Macaca mulatta: one gene and its partners. The protein of the gene in region 3 interacts with the protein of the main gene of each other region in a pairwise test. Links are inferred from orthologs where the notes say so. Each region holds a gene or a part of one and is shown on either strand. Other genes may lie near its edges.

Region 1 (6,403 bases), on a different chromosome or scaffold from region 3:
TAACTGGGATTGCAGGCACGCACCACCACGCCCAGCTAATTTTTGTATTTTTAGTAGAGATGGGGTTTTATCACGTTGGCCAGGCTGGTCTCGAACTCCTGACCTCGTGGTCCGCCCACCTTGGCCTCCCAAAGTGTTGGGATTACAGGCATGAGCCACTGCGCCCGGCTGGCAATTTAGTTTTTAAAAATCCCTATCCAGCAGAGGCTTCCTTATTTTATTGTCATTTTTTTTTGTACTGACACAACAGATGCATTTTGAATAAGTCTGAACATCACTACTTTCTATGAGTAACTGGCCATTGGGAGACCAGATGAGATATTTCTTATGCCTCCCATTCCAGGAGGCCATTATTTAGGGGACACATGGCATGTTATGGACATCTAGCATATCATGTTGGTCCACCTCCACTTCTCAATGGTTCTCTGCTCTACATCAAGAAGTTAAGATTTAAAAACAGAAGCATGAAGAAGAATGTTGTGGACTGATGCACTGATGTGCACTGATGTGAGTTGCACTGATGTGAGTTTTCCTATCCAGCTACACTTTTTGTTAGGTGTCTACCGTGAACAATGGCACAATTTTATCAGACAGCTGGATAATGTTAAGAATTATAATCTGTAACCCCAGATTACATGAAAATAAATGCCATTCGTAATACTAATTATGTTCCTGACCTTATTGTATTTAGTTAGTAACCCCAAATAAACTCATCTATTTATTTGAATGGGAATATTAACATCACATAAATCATATTTAACAATGAACACATGAAACAATGTATCACCTGGTTTAATATTCTGCTTGACTCATCTAAATCTTGTTTCTCTTAGGTCATAGAATTTCCATCTGTGTTCACTCTATTGGAATAATGCTGTTTGTGTATAATTCTATAATGCCTGCTTTACTATTGAACAGTAGGTATGGAGTCTTCAATGGGATTATCTCATTCACGGATACATCTTTTGATGGCAGAAAAAAAAAGTATACATAGGTAGGGGAAAGACAGAAAAAGCAGTTGCTGAAAAATAGGACCTGATGGTGAGTAATGGACAGCAATCTGTAACCCAGGCTGGAGTGCAGTGGTGTGACCTCAGCTCACTGCAACCTCTGCCTCCCGGGCCCAAGTGACCCTCCCAACACAGACTCCTGAGGAGCTGGGACTACAGGCGTGTGCCACTTTGCCCAGCGAATTTGTGTATTTTTTGTAGAGATAGAGTTTCACCATGATGGCCAGGCTGGTTTCGAACTCCTGGGCTCAAGTGATCCGCGGGTCTCGGCCTCCCAAAGTGCTAGAATTACAGGCATGAGCTACCGTGACCAGCCTAGCAATCAGGTTTTTATCCGTTTGGGATGTGGGAGAGGCTAAGCTAAACTAGAATTCAAAAGAAAGGAATATATTCATAATTAGTTAAACGTAGGGTGAAAAATAAAATTTCAGAGATAAGCAGAATAGGAAAAAAATCATTATTTTAATAATTCACACCTATTGCACCATTATTTCAATTTTACAGAGAAAAACAGGCAGAGTGATGAAATGGCTCATATATACACAACAAATGGCAGAGCTGGAATGCCAATCCTAGCAATCTAAACCAGCATTTAAAAACGAGGAATTAAAGCACATAGGGTGAGAAAAATTATAGGGAAGGGACAAGAGCTCAAGGACACACCTGGAAAAGAAATACTATAATTTTAAAAATTACCAATGGGCTAATTATAGTTGTGTTTTACTGGCAGAGCGCTTTGTCTATGTTAGCTCTTTTAATCCCGCTAATAATTCTGTGAGGTTGGTACTATTAGTTCCATTTTTCAGACGAGGACGCTTAATAGATGATAATCGACACATTCTCTGCTTGCTCTGAGCTGCATCTCAACAGCTGGCTCTGGAGCAAGCAAAGGGAGACTGAGGGAAACAGAGCGGACCAGGGCAAGCCGCCTGAAAGTGAGAAATGCAAGAAATGTTTCTCATCTAGGCAGGAGCTGGTTCCAGCATTCAAATCTCTCCAGCCGGCCCGCCACCACGTCACAAACCCCGCCTTTCAGTGACAAAGCCCCGCCCCGTTCCTTTGGCTGTTCCCTAAGCTCCCAATACTTCCCTCTTTCTCTTTGGCCCCTCCTACCCCGCTAGCATCATTTCCTGTGCGCTGGATGCTGATTGGTCCGACGGTCGGAAGTGAGGGCGGGCGGTGGGGGCCGTTGCCGCAGTGACAGTGCTAGGGGAGTCCGAAGATGGCGGCGTCGCGTCGCTCTCAGCATCATCACCACCATCATCAACAACAGCTCCAGCCCGCCCCAGGGGCTTCAGCGCCGCCGCCGCCACCTCCTCCCCCACTCAGCCCTGGCCTGGCCCCGGGGACCACCCCAGCCTCTCCCACGGCCAGCGGCCTGGCCCCCTTCGCTTCCCCGCGGCACGGCCTAGCGCTGCCGGAGGGGGATGGCAGTCGGGATCCGCCCGACAGGCCCCGATCCCCGGACCCGGTTGACGGTACCAGCTGTTGCAATACCACCAGCACAATCTGTACCGTCGCCGCCGCTCCCGTGGTCCCAGCCGTTTCTACTTCATCTTCCGTTGGGGTCGCTCCCAACCCAGCCGGCAGTGGCAGTAACAATTCACCGTCGTCCTCTTCTTCCCCGACTTCTTCCTCATCTTCCTCTCCATCCTCCCCTGGATCGAGCTTGGCGGAGAGCCCCGAGGCGGCCGGAGTTAGCAGCACAGCACCACTGGGGCCTGGGGCAGCAGGACCTGGGACAGGGGTCCCAGCAGTGAGCGGGGCCCTACGGGAACTACTGGAGGCCTGTCGCAATGGGGACGTGTCCCGGGTAAAGAGGCTGGTGGACGCGGCAAACGTAAATGCAAAGGACATGGCCGGCCGGAAGTCTTCTCCCCTGCACTTCGCTGCAGGTCAGAGACTTTTGAATTGTTTATTAAGGGTTTTGGGTTTGGGTGCAGGGTCCAGTTAGGACAAGAAAGCAGGTTATTGTGATGGGACAAAGTGGGGGCGTGGTCATGGTTCTTCAACACCTCACCAGAAGACTAGAGGTGCCTTTCTTTTGATGGTGTCTGGGTGATGGGGGCGTGGTTGGGGTGGGGGGATAAATGAATCCAAGAAATTCTTCAGTGGTTGCACAGTTTAGTTTTCGGTGTGCAGGAATAAAGTTAGATTTGGACAGCTTTAGAGTAGTTTTGTCATTTGTGTGCTATTTTGTTTTTACAAAGGTATGTCCCTTGAGGAGAGTCCAGACCAAAAGAGGTTTAATACAACCCAGCAAATGTTTGAGCATCTATTGTAGCCTTAGTAACCCAATGAAAGACAGAAATGAAGTTTATGAAAGTTTCCCTTCTTTTAAAGAAGTTTACAGTCTAGATGGGGAGACCAAAATATGCCAGTGTGAAACAACTGGAGAACAATATTTGGATGCATTATATGATGATAGAAGAAATACAGGCTTTGATATTGTGGCCACTATTATTTGTTGTATAGCAGACCGTTTACCTTGTGTCAGTTGCCTCAGTTTTCTCATGGGCAAAAATCATAAAATGATGTTGTGCGAGCATTTGGTGAGACGTATCTGGCACAAAGTTCTCCCTCAAAAAGTGTGAATTTCTTAAGCTCTGGACCTCACACTTGTCTTTTTTTTTTTTTTTTTGCAAATAGTTGATGATTTTCTCTCAAAGACACCTAATAATATGTTTATAAAATAAAGAAAACTGTAAAAGAAAAACAAAGGACTATAATTTCACTGCCTCGATACTTACTGTTGATATTTTAAACATATAGGTAATAATGTTATATACATTAGAAACATTATATTAGAAATACATGTATTGTCCCAAATAGGACAGAAAAATACAAAATGAAAGGCATCACACGCTCACAAACATCAAAGATAACACACCAAAGATAACTTCTGTTAAGTTTCTCTTATATTTCTAATATATATATGTGTCACTTCTTCAGTTTGTTCTGTTAATAGTAAAACGTGTTGACCCACTGTAGTAGTATTTATTTTTACCACACTTGGGAGATATGATTAACCATTTTACAGATGACAAAAGTGAAGCATATATAGATCGTTTAAGTAAGTCCAGATTCACTCAGGAAATAGTAGAAATTGAGTTTGAATTCAGGTAGTTTGACTTTAGAGCTTGTGAGATCAAACTTAAACTGTCAGAACCCTGGATTAAGGTCACTTCATTTTTGTGAGTAATTGAAGTGTAGAGTTCCCGATTTTTGGGAGAAATAGTAATGGGGAGGGGCTTATATGCAAGACAGTAGCTTTCACATGTTTTTTATTGTAGCCCATACTTAGAAATACATTTTACATGGTCACATATGCAACTGAATCAAAAGCTTCTGGAAACAATACTTTCCCTTAATATATGTGTTGTCCTCTGATAGTTTATATCTTATTCGATTTCATTTTTAGTGAATGCTGCTTGTGATCCATTAATGGGTCATGACCTGTGGTATGAGAAACACTTAAAGGAAATTATTATTAGGTCACTGGATTCATTCTTGATATACAGACACTACTTACTAGGAATGCAGTGGATTGAATCATAAACAGACTTTTGTCTATTTGTTTGCTCAAGGGTCTTGCTTGTTTTAGATGAAATAGCATTTCTTTTTCTTTAGGCTAAATGAAAGGCCCAAGTCTGATTTTATAAATCAACAGAGATGTCTACTTTTGCATACTTTATTCCAAGTTTGACTATTTTAACAAATTGTTTCACCAATCAGGTTATTTCTCACCACCCCACTTTATGAGTAATCACCAACAAATGATAGTTATACTTATGTGTATTAATGTATTTAGGATAAGTCACACAAAATAGTGCTTGTTTCTCAAATCACATGTCTTCTATTTGCTACAATAGTTACTTGTTATTCTGTTTCGGAGTTTTACATACATCCAGATTAGCTAGAAGATAAACAATAAAACAGTACCGTAATTATGTTGTAGTTATGAGAACCTAACCTTGAATTGGCTTTTTAAGAAAAATTTTAGCTCAGTTGTGGAAAACACAATAATAAAATTCTCAATGATAGGAAAACATAATATCCTGTAGTCAGTTTGCAACACTTCCGTGATTGAATGCATAACATTAAAGTTTTATTAAACTTTAGTCTTCTTTATCATGTATAGGCTGAGAAATGAAAAGAATTATCAGTGACTGGTTATTATGATAGTAATTGAATTGTCATGGAATAGCTGTTTTAAAGATGAGAAATTGGTACAATCCCTTGAATGAAAAAATTTAAAAATTACAGTTTATTTGTTCCAGAAATATTTTAGTGTACTTAGATGATTGGATGTTAAATACTGACACAATTGTGTAATGGCAAACATTCTGTAAGCCTTAAGGAGCTTACAGTCTAGTAGGGAAGCATAAACAACAACAACAAAAACCTGCAAAGTATCTAGTGTCTAATCTGGCGTGACAGGAAACGTACATTATACTGTCTGTCCCAGTATGTAATAGGAGCTCTTATCCTTGCTTTAGAGCAGTTAAGGAAGTCCTTCTAGGTAGATTTTTTTTAAAGCAGGTGTTAAAAGGGTGAGCCCAAGCTAGCCAAGCAAAGGTTGGAAGGGATGATGTTAACTAATACTTTTATTTCTATTTAAAAATGAGTTTACAGTTCTATGGAATGAAATGAAACAATTTTGTTTTCTTTCCAACTTTTAGGCTCAGGGGTTATATGTGCAGGTTTGTTACATGGTTAAATTGCAAGTCTTGGGGGCTTTGGTGTACAGATTATTTCATCACCTAGGCAATGAGCATAGTACCAGATAGGCAGTGTTTTGATTTTCGGCCTCCCCCCACCCTCTACCTTCCACCCTCAAGTAAGCCCCAGTGTGTATTATTCCCTTGTCTGTGTCCATGTGTACTCAAGGTTTAGCTCCCCCTTATTTAAGTGAGAACATGTGGCATTTGGAAATCATTTTTAAAGATCTCAGATGTGGTATGAAACCATGTTTAAATCCTTATCACTTTATCTATATTACGTTAAGAATAACCATATTTTTTCCAGCAGGAAAATTAGGAATCCTTTCTATCTTATCTTGGATTGTGATAATTTGTTTAGAATATGGTTTAGAGACTGTGTTAGTAATGGAATCATCCTATCCGCAATTAAGACAAAATCTTGTTTCCATTGTTGATACAGGTTCTCAAAATACTAGTTTTGTTGTCTTCTTAAGATGGCTTTGTAAAGATGATCCATTCTTTTATTGTTGACTAGAATTTATATGGGACTTTTTCTTACACAGATATGGTCCTTGACCCTGATTTTCTATTATTTGAAGTATAGTAGTCAAAAGAGTTTTATAAATAGTACCAACTGAGAGTGATACCTCCTTAGTTTGGTATCTAGTAGTGACATTTTTGTTAAAGGAC
Region 2 (5,654 bases), on a different chromosome or scaffold from region 3:
TAAATTGTTGGTCTTCTATTATGTAAAGTGCCTGAATAATTTTTGCAGGCTGAAGCAGAGGACCTGGATGGAGGAACATTATCACGGCAACATAATTGTGGCACACCACTGCCTGTTTCATCTGAGTATGTCTTTGTTACTATCATTTATTTTGGAAAAAATAAACTTTAAAACGTGGAATGGGCCGGGCGCGGTGGCTCACGCCTGTAATCCCAGCACTTTGGGAGGCCGAGGCGGGCGGATCACAAGGTCAGGAGATCGAGACCACGGTGAAACCCCGTCTCTACTAAAAATACAAAAAATTAGCCGGGCGCGGTTGTGGGCGCCTGTAGTCCCAGCTACTCGGGAGGCTGAGGCAGGAGAATGGCGTGAACCCGGGAGGCGGAGCTTGCAGTGAGCCGAGATTGCGCCACTGCACTCCAGCCTGGGCGACAGAGCCAGACTCCGTCTCAAAAAAAAACAAAAAAACAAAAAAAAAACGTGGAATGCTGCTCATGGCGGGGTCTAGATGTTTCTCAGTAGCCTGACGGTACTCTGAGCACCAGCGTGTGTGTGCATTGTCTTATCAGACATTTTATTGATTTAAAATTCATCCTATTTTATGGCTCTTCAGCTCTTCCTTGCTCCAGGACTCACAGAAGATGAAGTCAATCTGTTGTTTGCTGGTATGGGGAAGCCTTTGAATTGTAGTGTATTTCTTAGAAATCACAAAGCACATTTCATGACCCAGCGTTACAAATTAAAGCTAATTCAAATGATAAAGCTCAACGTTAGTAAAATATTTTTATATCAAAAACTGCTATAATCATATTTAGACATTTTTATTTGTTTTTTGTTGTTGTTATTGTTGTTGCTGTTTTCTGAGACCGAGTCTCCCTCTGTTGCCCAGGCTGGAATGCAATGGCACCATCTCAGCTCACTGCAGCTTCCACCTCCCGGGTTCGAATGATTCTCCTGACTCAGCCTCCCAAGTAGCTGGGATTACAGACATGCACCACCACGTCTGGCTAATTTTTGTAATTTTGGTAGAGACAGGGTTTCACCATGTTGGCCAGGCTAGTTTCGAACTCCTGACCTCAGGTGACCTGCGCGCCTTGGCCTCCCAAAGTGCTGGGATTACAGGCATGAGCCACCGTGCCCGGCTATCTAGACATTTTTAATTGAAATTTAATTATGGTATTTTTGTCCTTTTGTATATACCCAGTGGATTAAAGTTAAAGGTGAATTCACCTGAAGCTTGTTATAACTTTATATATCTTGTCTGTTTTCTGAACAGGAAAGATATGATCCGCCAAATGATGATTAAAATATTTCGCTGCATTGAGCCAGAGCTGAACAACCTAATTGCATTAGGAGACAAAATTGACAGCTTTAACTCTCTTTATATGCTAGTCAAAATGAGTCATCATGTGTGGACTGCACAAAATGTGGACCCTGCTTCTTTCCTAAGTACTACATTGGGAAATGTTTTGGTGACTGTCAAAAGGAACTTTGACAAATGCATTGTGAGTTTGCTTTTTTAAAAAAATACCTTAGCATCCTAGTCATTGCAAAATATAGGTAAATGTATTTAAATCGAGGGATTTCCAGCTTTCTGTTGGGGAATCTGTTGTTCATGTCCCTCAAAGCAGGGCATGGCAACAATCTGCATGAACAGAGTTAGTTGGGTGGTACTATGCCAGCTAGTTTCCCTTCCACACTGTGAATCTTGGCAAGTTCTGGAGGACGTGGCACAGCGGCGGCAGTTGCTTAAGAGATCCACTCGAGGCCAGACGTAGTGGCTCACATCTGTAATGCCAGCACTTTGGGAGGCTGAGGTGGGCAGATCACCTGAGGTCAGGAGTTCGAGACCAGCCTGGTCAACATGGCGAAACCCCGTCTCTACTAAAAATACAAAAATTAGCCAGGCGTGGTAGCACACACCTATAATCCCAGCTACTCGGGAGGCTGAGGCAGGAGAATTGCTTGAACCTGTGAGGCGGAGGTTGCAGTGAGCCAAGATTGCAACAGTGCTCTCCAGCCTGGGTGACAAGAGTGAAGACTGTCTCAAAAAAAAAGAAAAATTCACTGAATAACTGACATCTCAGTTTATTAGTCAGTGACCATTGATTTAATGAAACAATTGAAACTATCACTTGGGTTTATTGTTATTGTTCTTTTAATACTTTCTAATAAGAAAACTAATTTGATTATTTTAATTGTTTTATTTTAATAGTTTAGTAGCTTTAATAATTGTATTTTATTTTAAGAATAAATTGTTATAACTGAGCAATTATCATTTTCTTCCTAATAGAAAAAAATTTAACAACTTTCTTACTATCTGTTACTTTTTTTTTTTTTTTTTGAGATGGAGTCTCATTCTCATTGCCCAGGCTGGAGTGCAACAGTGCAATCTCGGCTCACCTCAACCTCCGCCTCCTGGGTTCAAGCAATTCTCCAGCCTCAGCCTCCTGAGTAGCTGGGATTACAGGCATGAGCCACCATGCCCGGCTAGTTTTATATTTTTAGTAGAGATGGGATTTCTCCATGTTGGTCAGGCTGGTCTCAAACTCCCAACCTCAGGTGATCCGCCCACCTTGGCCTCCCAAAGTGCTAGGATTACAGGCATGAGACACTGCACCCAGCTGTCTGTCTGTTACATTTTTTACACTTGTATGTATGAATTGGGCTGGGCCAGGTTAAAAAATGCTTCATGAACACTTCTCAAGGTGTGGCACTAGAGAAAGTAATCGAGACAAAGATATAAATTCACATATTCTCATAAGTTGCATATATATATAAAGGACATAGGTTTGCCACTAAAGGGTGGTTTCTTCTACCTATCATCCTTCTCTATATCTTATTTTAATTCTTATTTTAATAATATCTTATTTTTGATAAGATCTTATCTCTCATTTATGAATGCTGGTCAATAAGATCAATAGACCAGCATTTATAAATGAGTGCTTACTGTGTACCAGGCACAAGTCTGAGCACTTTGCACATACTATGTCATCTAATCTTAAACCCAGCCCCTCAATAGGGTAGATTGTTTGAAAGGTGAAGTTACTTTCTCCAGGTCCACAGTTTAAAAATATGGGTCTTGTATTCAAGACAGTCTGGTTCTAGTACCTGCGATCTTACCACTACCTTTTCTACTGCATCCATTTTTCACCTCACAGTTGCCAATACTGATGAAGTGGAACATGAGTACACATAATATGAAATAATTGACTATGCTCATAGGGTTTTTTTATACTGATGTCAGAAGCCTAGAGATAATTATTTTGCTAATCCATATGTCATATGGTTTTCGAGTTATACTCCCCAAATCTCAACACAATGAAATTTGAGGTAGAAACTGAAATAATACAAAAGTATTTGGCAGTGTAATCATTCCTACTGAGTAGATTTAGATCCCTTCAGAACCATAGAACCATAATTGAATCCGTGGATCGTTTTGAACCTAGGATTCTGTCTGCATGAAACATGTCTTTCACATTTTGTCATATCATGCACAAGCAGTTTGTGGAACTAAGAATAAGTGACTAATAAATATATGGAAAACTAAATAATGCAAATCCATATGGAAATGCCTGTCCTCCTTCTTTGTTTCTATACTCTGAAAATAGAGAATTTGTCTATCCAGACAGAAATTTTAGACTGATGAAAATTGGAAATGACTGTGGTTCTCAAACTTGACCATGTGGCCACCAACCAGAAGTTACCTGGAGGGATCCTATAGGTGCTCTAGAATCTGCTCTCCTGTAACCTAAAATCAGTAATTGCCTTGTACTCATCTTTCATAAATGGTAGAAATGTGTGTTGACTGTTTTTACTTTGTACAGAGACTTGAAGTTCACAGCCTTGATTGTATTTTGTTTTGTTTCATTTTATTTTATTTTTTGAGACAGAGTCTTGCTCTATCGCCCAGGCTGGAGTGTAGTGGCGCAATCCTGGCTCACTTTAACCTCTGCCTCCCAGGTTCAAGAAATTCTCATTCCTCAGCCTCCCAAGTAGCTGGGATTACAGGCATGTGCCACCCCGCCCAGCTAATTTTTTTGTGTGTTTTTTGTAGAGATGAGGTTTCACTGTATTGGCCAGGCTGGTCTTGAACTCTTGGCCTCTAACGATCCACCCACCTTGGCCACCCAAAGTGCTGGGATTACAGGCATGAGCCACCGTCCCCAGCTTATAGTTGATTTTAAATAATCTGTATTACTTTGATTTTCTTAAACTTACTGTAAAATGGTTTTATTATCTATAGAATTAGTTTTTCTTAATTAGTAAGCATCCAAAGTGTTCTAGCTACCACGTGATATCCTGCCTCTATGATATCTGTGCATATATCTATATCTCCATCTATATATTTTGTTGTGATTATATGTAGTTTTAAAGTTGCTTGGTTATTTATCTCCCTTGCTCTCTGCCTAACTATAGAGTAACCAAATAAGGCAAATGGAAGAAGTAAAGATCTCAAAGAAGAGTAAAGTCGGAATTCTTCCATTTGTTGCTGAATTTGAAGAATTTGCTGGACTTGCAGAATCAATCTTTAAAAATGCTGAGCGTCGTGGAGACCTAGATAAAGCATACACCAAACTTATCAGAGGAGTGTTTGTTAATGGTAAGCTTTTGTTATGTTCTAAAGAATTGTTGTAGCTATTGTTTTTATTTCTGGTAACTAAGAAGTCGGGAACAGATAGGTTCATTATTTTGTGTATCTTACAGTCTTTTTTAGGTTTTCTAACATTAAAGATTTCTTGAATTTGAAAAATAAAACCTATTCATAATCATTAGGAACCACTTACATTTTAGGGTTCATATGGGCTTATGACTATGCAAAATTGAAAATCTTTTTTTTTTTTTTTTTAAGATGGGCCTCACTCTGTCACCCAGGCTGGAGTGCAGTGGCATTATGTTGGCTCACTGCAACCTCCACCTCCCAGGCTCAAATGATCCTCCCACCTCACCTTCCCAAGTAGCTGGGACTACAGGTGCACCCCACCACACCCTGCTAATTTTTTGTAGAAAATCATTTTTTAAACACAAAAACATGACCTTCCAGATTACATTTGCATTTCAACAAGTGGTCTTCTAGAGATGATGGGCTGTGATGTGTGTGTGACCTTAAGCAAATCAATTCATTTATTTAGGCCTCAGTTTTCCATATCTATTATACAAGGAAATTAGTACTAAAATACAGGAGAAATTAGTGCTGAAATACTATAACTCGCTTTCTTCCTGTGTCAGATCCCACAATTAAGTTACAGAAAAGTCTGGGCATGTCATTTCATGTGAAATAAATGATCTGATTGCATATATTCAGGAATTGTAGAAGCTAAAGAATTGGCAGGAAATGGAATCATTTCACCAATTATTGCCCAGGCTGGAGTACTGTGGCATAATCTCGGCTCACTGCAACCTTCACCTCCTGAGTTTGAGCAATTCTCCTGCCTCAGCCTCCTAAGTAGCTGGAATTATAGGCAGGTGTCATCACACCCAGCTAATTTTTGTATCTTTAGTAGAGACGGGGTTTCACCATGTTGGCCAGACTTGTCTCAAACTCTTGACCTCAAGTGATCTGCCTGCCTTGGCCTCCCAAAGTGCTGGGATTACAGGCATGAACCACTGTGCCCGCCCTTGATTTTTCCTTTTAAAATTCAAAGTAGCTTTGC
Region 3 (6,215 bases):
CAAGTGATCCTCCTGCCTCAGCCTCCCAAAATGCTAGGATTACAGGTGTAAGCCACCACTCCTGGCCATGTATTTTTAAATATGTATTTTTTTAATTGTTGTGTTTTTTTCCCCCAAATATTTTCTATCTGTGGTTAGTCGAATTTACACATGTAGAACCTGAGAGGCTGTGGAGGGTTGACTGTATATAGTACTGCCTGTGTTTTATTTGTTTTTCTTATTTTAGCTTTAGAAACACTATTGGGATTAACACTATAGCTGGTCCAGATCTCCAAAAAATAAGACAACAGAAGTCTGAACTGATGTTCTTGAGCAGTTGGCCTATGTCTCACAGATACATTTTGCTCTTGACCTAAGCTGAAGCAGGAATGTAATTTGGAGTTTGTCATTTGCGATGGAGAGGATGGGGTTCTGCTAGCTAAGAAGCATTTATCATAGTCAGGGCTGACCCCAGAGGCCTCTGTTTATTTCAAACTCTGTCTCTCAGTTTATTCAGAGCTAGGATGTACCTGCAAAGTTGGAGGCTCAATTCCAAGCCACCAGGGAAGATTGGTGGCTCCTGTGTTCCAAAGTGACCCCTATGGCTATCTTGTCCCTGGCTTCGTCTATCATTGGAAAACCAAAAGCAACTATGTCTTTAGCAAGGAACTTTGAAACACCTCTCACAGAATTGCTGACTCATCCTTGATTTAAAGAGCAATGAGCAGGTCTGACCTTTTTAGAAACAAACCATGGCACTACCTCCAGAAAATAGGACAATTTTCCTTTGACAGTGGACTATAGTGCCAGCGTGTATGGGGTGGTGCCTTTCCCTAGGAGTAACCCTCTAGCCTACTTTTTGATAAAACCACCAGAAGCAGGACTATTTATTTATTTGAGAAGGTGTCTGGCTGTATTGCCCAGGCTGGTCTTGAACTCCTGTCCTCAAGTGATCCTTGTATCCTGGCATCTCAAAGAGCTGGGATTACAGATATGAGCTACCATGTCGTGCCAGACACAGGTTTTGTAAGGTGGTTTTGATGATAGGTTCTCAGAAAGAAGCTCCATTCTCAAGCAAATTTGTCCACCAAACTCAGAGCAGATGGGCTACAGGCCTCCGTGTAGAACATGTGCACGTTCTGCATTTCTCAAAGGAAGGAGATGTGAGCAGCTATGTGCTCACCTGCTTTGCCAAGGTCATCCTTTGGGTTCCCCTGACATCACAGTGGCCCTGACATTTCATAAAAGCACACACATGCCTCTTCAGTTTGGTCTTTTCGGATGCTGTGTCTGCCAGGCCAACTCTGTCTCCCTACTTGTTGATGGTGGGCAGGAAGTCTCACTAATTCATAAATTCTTGGCCAGAGTGTGCCCATCAACAGGGGTTACACTTGCCACCTCCTTAAAAAGGCTGTGTCTGCCCACAGGCATCCCAGCTCAATGCATTCTCCATGCTTCCTGGCTATTCAGGTAGGACCGCCGCACCTCTGTGTTTGGTACGGGGCTCGCCCAGAGAGGCCGCAGCCTTCGGCGATGCATCCGTGCACGGAGCTGCAGCTGGCTCTCCTCTCTACACTCCTGTGTCTATATAAGCGCACATTTTAGTTTGCTTTTCTGGGGAAATCTTTGAGTAGGTGCCATTCCCAAGGTTCGCTCAAGGGGAGGAATGTGCCTTTGGGTACAGGGTTTCGGCAAGTCTTGGTCCTGAGGTCCAGGGTCACTAAGCCCAGGCTTCGGAAGGCGACTTCAGCGTGAAAACACCCCACGCCTCCTACCACACACAACGCGCTTCGGAGGAGGGCGGGAGAAGGGGACTCCCGAAAGCGGGAGGCTTGCGTTACGCAGTTGAGATATATCCGGGCTGCTAAGTTACAAGGGGGTGGGGGCTCTCCTAATTTGCCACCTTGGAGATGTGGAGGGAGCTGGGGTTTTGTGACGGAGACCTGGGTAGCTGGGACTGGCCGAGGAGCGCGCGGCCGGGGCGGGACGGGGGCGGAGCGGGCGCTGCGCTGACTGCCGCGGCAGAAAGGGGGCGGCCGCGCCCATTTCCTCTGCTCCGCCGCGGCCAGAGGGATCCGCATCGGCGAGCTGTGCCTCCCGGGTGTCGGCCCCGGCGGCTCCCTGATCGTGCCCGGCTGTGGCGAGGCGGCTCCAGCCCAGCCTGTGGCGGCCGCTACCTCCAGGGCGCTCCGGAGCCCACTGCGCGGCGCGCGTGGCGACTGCCCGCATGGACGCGGCACTGAAGCGGAGCCGCTCGGAGGAGCCAGCCGAGCTCCTGCCGCCTGCACGGGACGAGGAGGAGGAGGAGGAAAAGGGGATGGAGCAGGGGCTGGAGGAGGAAGAAGAGGTGGATCCCCGAATCCAGGTAGGGCGCGCGGGGTCACCCCGCATCCGGGCTTCGCGAGGGCTGCTGCGGAGGTCGGCGTCTACGCGTACATCCACTTCGCAGCCCCCAGTGACTGTGGTCTGGGGACTGGCGGCCACATACGGTGGCAGGAGACGATCTGTATGCTCTGTTTCATCGTCTCCACAATGAGGAGGCTACAGTGCCCGCGTGGATGCGGCCTGACTCTATTGCGGGGAGCCCCCCGCAGACCCCTAGCAGGATCGGGGTCGCCGCAGAGTGCCTGGTGGTTCGGGCGGATGTGCAACAAAGGGAAAAAGGGGGCGGGGGCGCCATGGTATCCTCGGGGGTACCCCCCGCCCGGCCACCACGGCACCGCGGGCAAGGCATGGCCTCCAGGCTCTGCGAGGAGGGGTCGCCCGCGTGGGCGCCGGGCACCGTAGGCGGGTGGGCGTTGCCCGCCCCTGCAGCGCGGGCTGGCACTGGTGCCCCGGGTGCAGAGTCCTCACCTGCCAAGGTGCCCGGCCTGAGCCGTTTTCCTTCTCTGATTCATTGTTAGAGAACTGAGCGTCTTACTGTCACCACCGGCTCAACGTTCCGCCTGGCCTGAAATTGCTTAAAACCCTGCTTTTCCTTGTTGTGAGGCTGGGCATGAACAGAAATCAGGGACAACTGATGCGCAAAGCTGACGCGTGGAGGCGGCGAGGGGATTGGGCTGGCTGACTGTGCCTCCATTTCCAAGAGAGATGATTAAAAAACAATTTCCAAGCCGAGATCTAGGAGTGACAGTTTAACCTCTTCACCCCGAAGCAAAAAGCAGAGCAGATCCCTTTCTAAGACCCGTTTTATTCTACCTTTTCAGTAAATCATTTTTAAAAAATTGCTTTTAAGCATGCTCTGTAATTTCTGGATCCCTAATTGGTTTTTTAGTGCACAGATCAATTTAAAAGCTCACTTAACTCAGTGGTTAGGGTTTAAATGAATTGTTTTGTCAGGTTAGCAAGATAAAGATCAGGTGGAAAAAAAAAACCTTGCATTAGGAATGCTATTAATTAAAATAATTGGTTTGGAATAAATCGTGTGTTATTGGTATGGGATTATGTTAGCAAGATCCTTTGTTTGCATAGTAAAGATGAGTTAAGTTCATGTTGGATGCTTTTTACAAAATGTCAGTTTGTAAATGTTTATTGAAATGAATGGGATTAAAGCTAGTTTAAAACATCCAGCTAAGTAGGTTGAATAATTGGCAGTGTGAAAAGATTTTCACCCTTTACAGAAAAATAATTCTGGTGAGTTAATACCAGAATTCTGCCCTTGATGATTTCACTGGGTTTATATTTTTGGCCTGGCCTTGCTTATTGTCTTTTATTGTTTTCTAAGCAAAGTTCTTGCTCAAGGCAGATGGTGCTGTTTTGATGAGGCCATTAAACCATTTGTAACAGGTGGGATTTACCTGAAGGCACATACCTGGAATATTTGACCTCTGACAAATTCCAAATGTCTCTGAAGACATTGTCAAAAAGGATACCCTCAAGAAAATGGTTTCAGAAATGCTGACATTCATTTGCTTTTCTAGCTAAGCCTCAACTGTTTGCCTTAAGAATTAATACCAATTCTTCCCTTTTCCTGCAAACTGGGCTGGGATAATTTTTCAGGTTATGGACTGAGTTATATTGGAAACAAAAGACGGATCCCGTAAGTCTTTTTCTCTCCCTCTTTTCTTCACCAGGGAGAACTGGAGAAGTTAAATCAGTCCACGGATGATATCAACAGACGGGAGACTGAACTCGAGGTACAGAGAGCTGAGTTCCTGTTCTTGGTGAAGTGATGTCACTCACACCGGCACAAGGCTGGTTAATTTTGTCTTCATAGCTGGAGGGTTATTGCTGGACCCCCCTCCTTGGGAGTTGAGCAACAGCTCCCTGACAGAATAAAATACACCACTGAGCTCAACCTGTGGGCGGAACGCATGTGGATCCAATTTCACATGTTGTTTTTCATTATGGAAGCTCCATGGGGCCTAAATCAAGTCTGTGCAGAGCGTTACACAACGCCTAAGCCCCAAGTTTTCATGTGACTGAAAGGATAGAGAGGAAAATTAGCTGAACTCTTTAATGAAGAATAATGAATGAGCTCACAAAATCTCTTACATGTTCAGGGCGGTTCCTGCCATTTGTCCTGGAAAGGTTGTGTTGTTTCCTCTGACTTCGACCATTTCTTGACTTTCCTGTCCTAATAACTCACCCCCACCTTCTGCTTTCCTGCTCATTTCTTTATTGTCTGCTTGTGCATAGAATATAATTATAATGGTAACAAAAAGCTGTTTAGACTGGAAAGGCCTTTCCTACTGGGAAAAATCTTGGAAGACTAAAACTTGATTTAGGTTTCATGTGCATTTTCCAACCGGAGTGTAAACAAGTTAGCATTCATCACAGCCTCTGATTAGTTTCCACCCCTTTCCAGTAGTGGTTGCTTTTACCACCCATCAGCAAATTTGAACAACCACTGTATGTATTCAGGAGACTGAATTGACTGTCAGAGCCTGGAAGGGACTCTCAGCGCAGCTTCCCAGTGCAGGGAGCTGTTGGCAAAGTCTGTTTCTGTAGCAGGAGAAATAGCAAAAGTCAGTGGAAGGGACAAGAAGCACATGGTCCCTAAGAGTGAGGGTGTGGGAGACAGGAATATAATCTGCCAGGATTCACAGGCAGCCTTGATTTCTGCTGCATGCGTAGGCCCTGGAGTTACCAAATCTGGATGTAGCAATGTGGATTAAAAAGTCTGTTGCTCTGAGCTGTGTGAAGGGTTATCGCTCACCACCTCCATTTCCATCGTAGGTGTACAAGAACACGGGCTGTCCTTCTCCCTAAGTGAAGTAAAATCTAGTTTATTTACATTTCTTTCACTTATGAATTGAGTCTGTCTGTGATGTGCGGTAACCGAAACCTCTTAGGATCTCAGATTTCTAATGCATTAAACAACAAAACCCTTACCATTCCTATAGGGCTTTAGCATTTACAGACTGTTTTTTACACGTTTTATCTCATTCCATCCTGTCACACCAGCCTAGAGCTATGCTGTCCCATATGGTAGCCATGTGCAACGTATGGCTATTTGAATTTAATTAATTTTTTTTTTTTTTCGACACAGAGTCTAACTCTGTCGCCCAGGTTGGGGTGCAGTGGTGCGATGTCTGCTCTCTGCAACCTCCACCTCCTGGGCTCAAGTGATTCTCATTCCTCAGCTTCCTGAGTAGTTGGGATAACAGGTGTGTACCACCATGCCTGGCTAATGAGTTTAATTAAAATTAAGTAAGACAAAATTCTGTTCCTCAATCATAATAGCCACGTTTCAAGAGCCCAGTTGCCACTATATTAAACAGTCTAGTTGCCACTGTATTAAACTACTATCATCATAGAATGTTCTGGCCTGGAGAACCAGGAGGGGAGGGACTATTTGCTTTCCAGATAAGGACTCAGAGGCTTAGCATTTTGTGATGATGCCTCAGAGGCAGGGCTCCCATCTTATAGTCACAGGCATTTTCCAGATCTCCTCCAGTTCCTGCATTCTATTATCCCAGTGCAGTGGTGCAATCACAGCTCACTGCAACCTCAAACTCCTGGGTTCAGGCAATCCTCCTGCATCATCCTCCCTGGTAGCTGAGACTACAGGTGCATGCCACTATACCCGGCTAATTTTTCATATTTTTAAACTTTTTTGTAAAGATGGGATCTTGCTCTGTTGACCAGGCTGTTCTTGAACTCCAGGCCTCAAAGTGATCCTCCCACCTTGACCTCCCAAAGTGCTGGGATCACAGGCATGAGTTGCCATACCCATCCTGGAAATATTCTTCTTCCTACCCTCCCCCACTCTCCCCACCCCCCACACCAAGGCA
Region 4 (5,654 bases), on a different chromosome or scaffold from region 3:
AGGATTATAAAATAATACATTAAACTGAAGATCAGAACAATGGGGTGGACAGTCTCTACAAATTAAGTACTTTCTAATTTTATTTGGAAAGGATCTGGAAGAACACGTGCCAGGCTACTAACAGTGGTTACCCATGTGGAGAAGAGTAGTAAGATTAGGATGGGGGCCGGGAAATGGAAAAAGGGAACTTGTATTTTTCATTTTGATCATTTGAACTTTTTATAGCAAAGATACGTTCAGGTATCATCTGTGTGATTTTAAACCATTTTAAAAATATTAAATAAAGAATATTTAAATGTTATTTAAAATATAATGTATTGCAGGTAAAGCAATGAAAAAATGGGTTGAATCCATCACTAAAATAATCCAAAGGAAAAAAATTGCAAGAGACAATGGACCAGGTCATAATATTACATTTCAGAGTTCACCTCCCACAGTTGAGTGGCATATAAGCAGACCTGGGCACATAGAGACTTTCGACCTGCTCACCTTACACCCAATAGAAATTGCTCGACAACTCACTTTACTTGAATCAGATCTATACCGGTATGTACTTTAACATTCAAGCTGAAAAATCATTTCAAAAGAGTGAATTTTTAAAATGAAATACTGATTTCTGCCTTACAGGGTTGTCCTAAGACTTAACTGAAATCGTACATGAAGTGTCTAGTAATGAGGCCAGGCAGGCACTTCCTGTTCTTTCACTCCCTTGGTCCCTCCAGCTGAATTTACACCTTCTGTCTTTCTGTGGTCACCCCTAGTTGGTAAGGCTAGGTTCAAATCCTGGCTTTACTAATTGCTGACCCTGGGCAACTTTAACCTCCTTGTGTAACTTTATCCTTCTGCCCCTTATTTTCCTCAAGAGTAAAATGGGGCTACTGATAGTACGTACTCCTGGGGCTGTTTTGAGGTTTGAAAGTCAATGTATGTACATTACCTAGCACAAAGTAAGGGCTCAATAAATGTTGGCTACTGCTTTATTGTGAACTTATAGCCATTATAGTCTTTTTTAGTTTATCATACTACATTGATATAATTATCTCAAAAATGTCCTTCTGATTTTAAATGGGGACTATTTAGAATCTTAAACTAAATTATTCATTTTTTAATAGCTAAATGAGAAAATGAGCTAAATTTATAGATCTCCCACTAAAAATCATATTTCTGAAAATTACAGTATTAGAATCTATTTTGTTTATTTCCTAGGACCCTTTTGTGGTAGGTTTTTTTCCTCTCCTCCTTTAGACCAAAAAAAAAAAGATGTAGGAATTGCATTGATTACTGTACCCTCTTTGAACTGATTTATAACAGATATCATTACTTAAATGTCTACTTTGTCACCCTAATTTATTAATAATGTTTATAAATGCTGGAAAAGATATTATGGAGGAGTTTCAACCTTGCCCAAAGCAAAATGCTACTATAAAGCAACACTAAAAGTACACAGGTATTTCCATAAAAATAGTTTTTAAAAACAGTTTTTAAAGGCCGGGCGTTGTGGCTCACTCTTGTAATCCCAGCACTTTGGGAGGCCAAGGCAGGTGGATCACCCAAGGTCAGGAGTTCGAGACCAGCCTGGCCAACATGGTGAAACCTTTTGTCTACTAAAAATACAAAAAATTAGCCAGGCTTAGTGACGGGCACCTGTAATCCCAGCTACCCGAGAGGCTCAGGCAGGAGAGTCACTTGAACCCGGGAGGTGGAGGTTGCAGTGAGCCAAGATTGTGCCATTGCACTCCGTCCTGGACAACAAGAGTGGAACTCCATCTCAAAAAAAAAAAAAAAAAAAAAAAAGTTTTAAAAAATCCATAAGGAAATATGCATAATTATACTTTTTTGTTATACCTTGTTTTCACAAACCTTTCTGTTGGTGTAAGAGGAAAGTTCATATGAGAGTTTAGTTTTTAATCTATCTCCTTTACTTAATAAAACAGTGTCTATATTAGAGGAAAAACTGTCATGTAGAATTATGTATTGATGATTTTAGAGCTGTACAGCCATCAGAATTAGTTGGAAGTGTGTGGACAAAAGAAGACAAAGAAATTAACTCTCCTAATCTTCTGAAAATGATTCGACATACCACCAACCTTACTCTGTGGTTTGAGAAGTAAGTATTCCTAGCATTCTTACATTTTATAGCTGTCAGCTATATTATGAATTTCAATGCAATTTTGTTTTTGTTTTTGTTTTTGAGAGGGAGTTTTGCTCTGTCACATAGGCTGGAGTGCACAACATCGGCCCACTGAAACCTCCACCTCCCAGGCTCAAGCGATCCTCCCACCTCAGCCTCCAGAGTAGCCAGGATTACAGTGTGTGTGATATTACACTCACCTAATTTTTCTTTTTTTTTTGAGACAGAGTCTGGCTCTGTTGCCCAGGCTAGAGTGCAGTGCGTGATCTTAGCTCACTGAAACCTCTGCTTTCTGGGTTCAAGCAATTCTCAGGCCTCAGCCTCCTAAGTAGCTGGAACTACAGACGTGTACCACCACACCCAGCTAATTTTTGTATTTTTAGTAGAGACGGGGTTTCACCATGTTGGCCAGGCTGGTCTTGAACTCCTGACCTCAAGTGATCCACCCATCTTGGCCTCCCAAAGTGCTGGGATTACAGGCATGAGCCATTGTTCCTGACCAATGCAATTTTATTTCTATATGTCTCATGTCTTTTTCCTCTGTTCCTCCTTTATTTAGTAATTGTTTTTCATTGAATGAAAATGACAATATTTTTCATTAGAAAACGTTGAATGTTTTTCTAATGTAGCATTTTAGTTTCACTAATTATTTTCATTAACTTTTTTTGAGGTTCTTTTAATGGTTGCCTGGTTGCCTTAGAGTTTACCACACACATCTTGTCAGAATCAGCTTCAGACTTACAGTAGCTTCATACCAGTGATATATAGAAATATTACTCCTATGTAGCTCTATTCCCTTTCTCCCTTTTTTGTGGTACTGTTATACATATTACATCTTATTAATAATGCAAATCAAACAATACATTGCTACAGTTATTACTTTACCATTTGTCATCATACTCTTAGACCATTAAAGCTTTGCTCTCACCCACCTCCTTTGTGTATTATTGGCAACATATTACACATATATTACATTTCTATGTTATAAACTCAACAATGTGTTTATATTATTTTAAGTCAGTTATGAGAAGAAATGAGAAAAAAAATACGCATTTACAAAATGTCTTTAATAATTACCCAATTACCTTTACTGGTGATCTTTGTGTGGATTCGAATTACCATCTGGGATCACTTGCTTTTCAGCCTGAAGAATTTCCTTTAGTATTTCTTCTGGAGGGTCGGCTAGCAACAGATTCTCTCAGTTTTTGTTTATCTGGGAAAATCTTTATTTTACCTTCATTTTTGAACAATACCTCTATCTTCAAGTTAATACTTTTTTTCAGTTCAAATACACTATTGAGCTTTTCCAGTAAGTTTTTTATTTCAGTTATTGTACTTTTTAATTCCAGAATTTCCATTTGGTTCCTTTTTATAGTTTCTATCTCTTTAATGATATCCTCTCTTTGATGCGCATTGTCATCAACACCTTCCTTTCCTTCTTTTTCATGCTTTCCTTTAATTCTGTAACCATATTCATAATGGCTACTTAGAAATCTTTTTTGTTATTGTTGTTAAATCTGACATTTGGTTGCTCTCACAGGTAGTTTCTGTTCCTTCCCCCCTCCCCCACCCGCACCCCGCTGTAAGAGTCATATTTTCTATTTCTTTGCATACCTCATCTGTTTTTGTTGGAACCCTGACATTTCAGATAATATATTGTAGCAACTCTGAGTGCTGCTCCTCATTCCCCAACCCCCTTTCCAGGGATTCTTACTGCGTGGCAGTGGTACTGGAAAGACCCATCCACTCCTTCCCTGACCACACACACCCAGCTATGAAACTCCACAATTTGCCAGCTGATTGCTCTGATGTTTTCAACGATTTCCTGGTGGCATAAATGCTATACAAAATAATGCAATCAGATTGTGGCTCCTTTGAAGGAATGGTTTTCTGAGATTTCTGTTTCATACTTGTTCTGACCCCAGGAGGGCTTCTCTCAGTTGTCTTATTTCCTAGTTCTCCCCTGCAAACTACTCTGCCTACAGTCTAGGGTGTATCTTCATTAGATCCACAAATCTCTTCCCCATTGCCTTTCACCACAATTTCCTCTGTTCTTAAGGGCACCATTAAATTTAAACTACTTTATACTTTGTTGCAAATGACAAGATTAGGAGCTATCTGTTTGAAACAGGGCTCTAAGGCTCGGGATAATGGCAAGCTTTTCTCTGAGTGACACTTCTGCCCTAGGAGCTTGGTTGAGCAGGTAGAGTGGCAGACGATGGTACTGTAGCCTGAGGTCTCCTTACCTGCCTCTTCTGGCATGGAACCACGCCTTCAGGAACCAGAGGAAGGGCTCTTTTCTCAGTATTCTCAAAATATCATACCCAAGGTAGAGTCTCCATTCCATAAGTGGAAGTTGGGCAAGGAAGGGTCTTCCCACGTTTCAGCTGCACTCAACTGGGACTTGGCCTCAGCAACAGGCAGCAGGGACAGGATGAGAAAACTAAAGTCCTGCTCCTGTACCTCACTGGGAGCTAGGTGTTCTTGACTGCAGGAATCTGGAGTAGATGCTCAGTCCACCCTCACTGAGCTGGGAGAAAGGAGGGAGGGACCAGTCTTGGTTCAAATACCAGACTCTCTTCCCTCTCTTACCAAATTTTTGTAGATATTCCTGAATAGATGTTTCTTTTGCCATTTGCTCTCAGGGCCATTACTAGAGACTTTAAATGTGTGTGTGCACATGTGCATGTGTGTGTTTGTGTGTTTTAATAATTTTTACCAGTTTCACTCAGTGAAACTCATACTATCATACCACAAGTCCAGAATCTCAATGCAATTATATATTAGGTTGGTGCAAAAGTAATTGTGGCTTTTGCCATTACAGTTAATGCTGTTCCTAGAAATGTAGGAAACATAGGAACAGAGCTGTTCCTAGAAATGTATGCAGCCAATTATATATGAAAGAAAGAAATTGAGCATTAATCACTGATTCTTGAATTCTACTAGAATACACCCATATCACAAAGACCTCACAAAGACTTACATACATACCACAAGATAGTAGCCTCACCAGTTAATTCTAATGCTAATAGAGGATGCACCAAATACAGTAGGAAAATGATTGTTTGACTGTACCAGTCTAGAAAACAGAAAAGAGCAGTATGCCTCACTGGAGGCACTGCCTTCCTTCTATCAGTCACCCTGAATGTGTCTTCTCTATAGTAGTTATACTATAGCCACCTGCCCCCACTCTCTACATTATTTTATTTACTAAATTCTTTATAACTTTATTGGAAAAACTCTAGAATCTTTAGTTCACTTTTTTTTTTTAATTCCCAGATGTATTGTAGAAACTGAAAATTTAGAAGAAAGAGTAGCTGTGGTGAGTCGAATAATTGAGATTCTACAAGTCTTTCAAGAGTTGAACAACTTTAATGGTGTCCTTGAGGTTGTCAGTGCTATGAATTCCTCACCTGTTTACAGACTAGACCACACATTTGAGGTAGGTTTCTACATGTGTTTTTAAAATGAACTTTCATTCCCTATTATAAACATTAGATTTTTAACAATTATTATCTTTAAT

What was found.
Region 1: the proteins of SH3BP5 (region 3) and TNKS interact in a two-hybrid assay, tested with the Homo sapiens proteins (2 studies listed by BioGRID and IntAct). The link is inferred for Macaca mulatta from reciprocal best matches to the Homo sapiens genes SH3BP5 and TNKS.
Region 2: the proteins of SH3BP5 (region 3) and EXOC1 interact in a two-hybrid assay, tested with the Homo sapiens proteins (2 studies listed by BioGRID and IntAct). The link is inferred for Macaca mulatta from reciprocal best matches to the Homo sapiens genes SH3BP5 and EXOC1.
Region 4: the proteins of SH3BP5 (region 3) and SOS1 interact in a two-hybrid assay, tested with the Homo sapiens proteins (2 studies listed by BioGRID and IntAct). The link is inferred for Macaca mulatta from reciprocal best matches to the Homo sapiens genes SH3BP5 and SOS1.

What each region holds. Positions count from the first base shown.
Region 1 is NC_133413.1:11,721,974-11,728,376, reverse strand, and holds the start of TNKS (poly [ADP-ribose] polymerase tankyrase-1), read left to right. Parts: upstream 1-2,226; 5' UTR 2,227-2,232; coding exon 2,233-2,905; intron 2,906-6,403.
Region 2 is NC_133410.1:77,576,306-77,581,959, reverse strand, and holds part of EXOC1 (exocyst complex component 1), read left to right. Parts: intron 1-48; coding exon 49-125; intron 126-1,276; coding exon 1,277-1,505; intron 1,506-4,419; coding exon 4,420-4,603; intron 4,604-5,654.
Region 3 is NC_133407.1:33,153,021-33,159,235, forward strand, and holds the start of SH3BP5 (SH3 domain-binding protein 5), read left to right. Parts: upstream 1-2,028; 5' UTR 2,029-2,206; coding exon 2,207-2,344; intron 2,345-4,052; coding exon 4,053-4,115; intron 4,116-6,215. UniProt on the Homo sapiens protein: Functions as a guanine nucleotide exchange factor (GEF) with specificity for RAB11A and RAB25. Inhibits the auto- and transphosphorylation activity of BTK. Plays a negative regulatory role in BTK-related cytoplasmic signaling in B-cells.
Region 4 is NC_133418.1:85,933,541-85,939,194, forward strand, and holds part of SOS1 (son of sevenless homolog 1), read left to right. Parts: intron 1-323; coding exon 324-546; intron 547-1,987; coding exon 1,988-2,107; intron 2,108-5,410; coding exon 5,411-5,573; intron 5,574-5,654.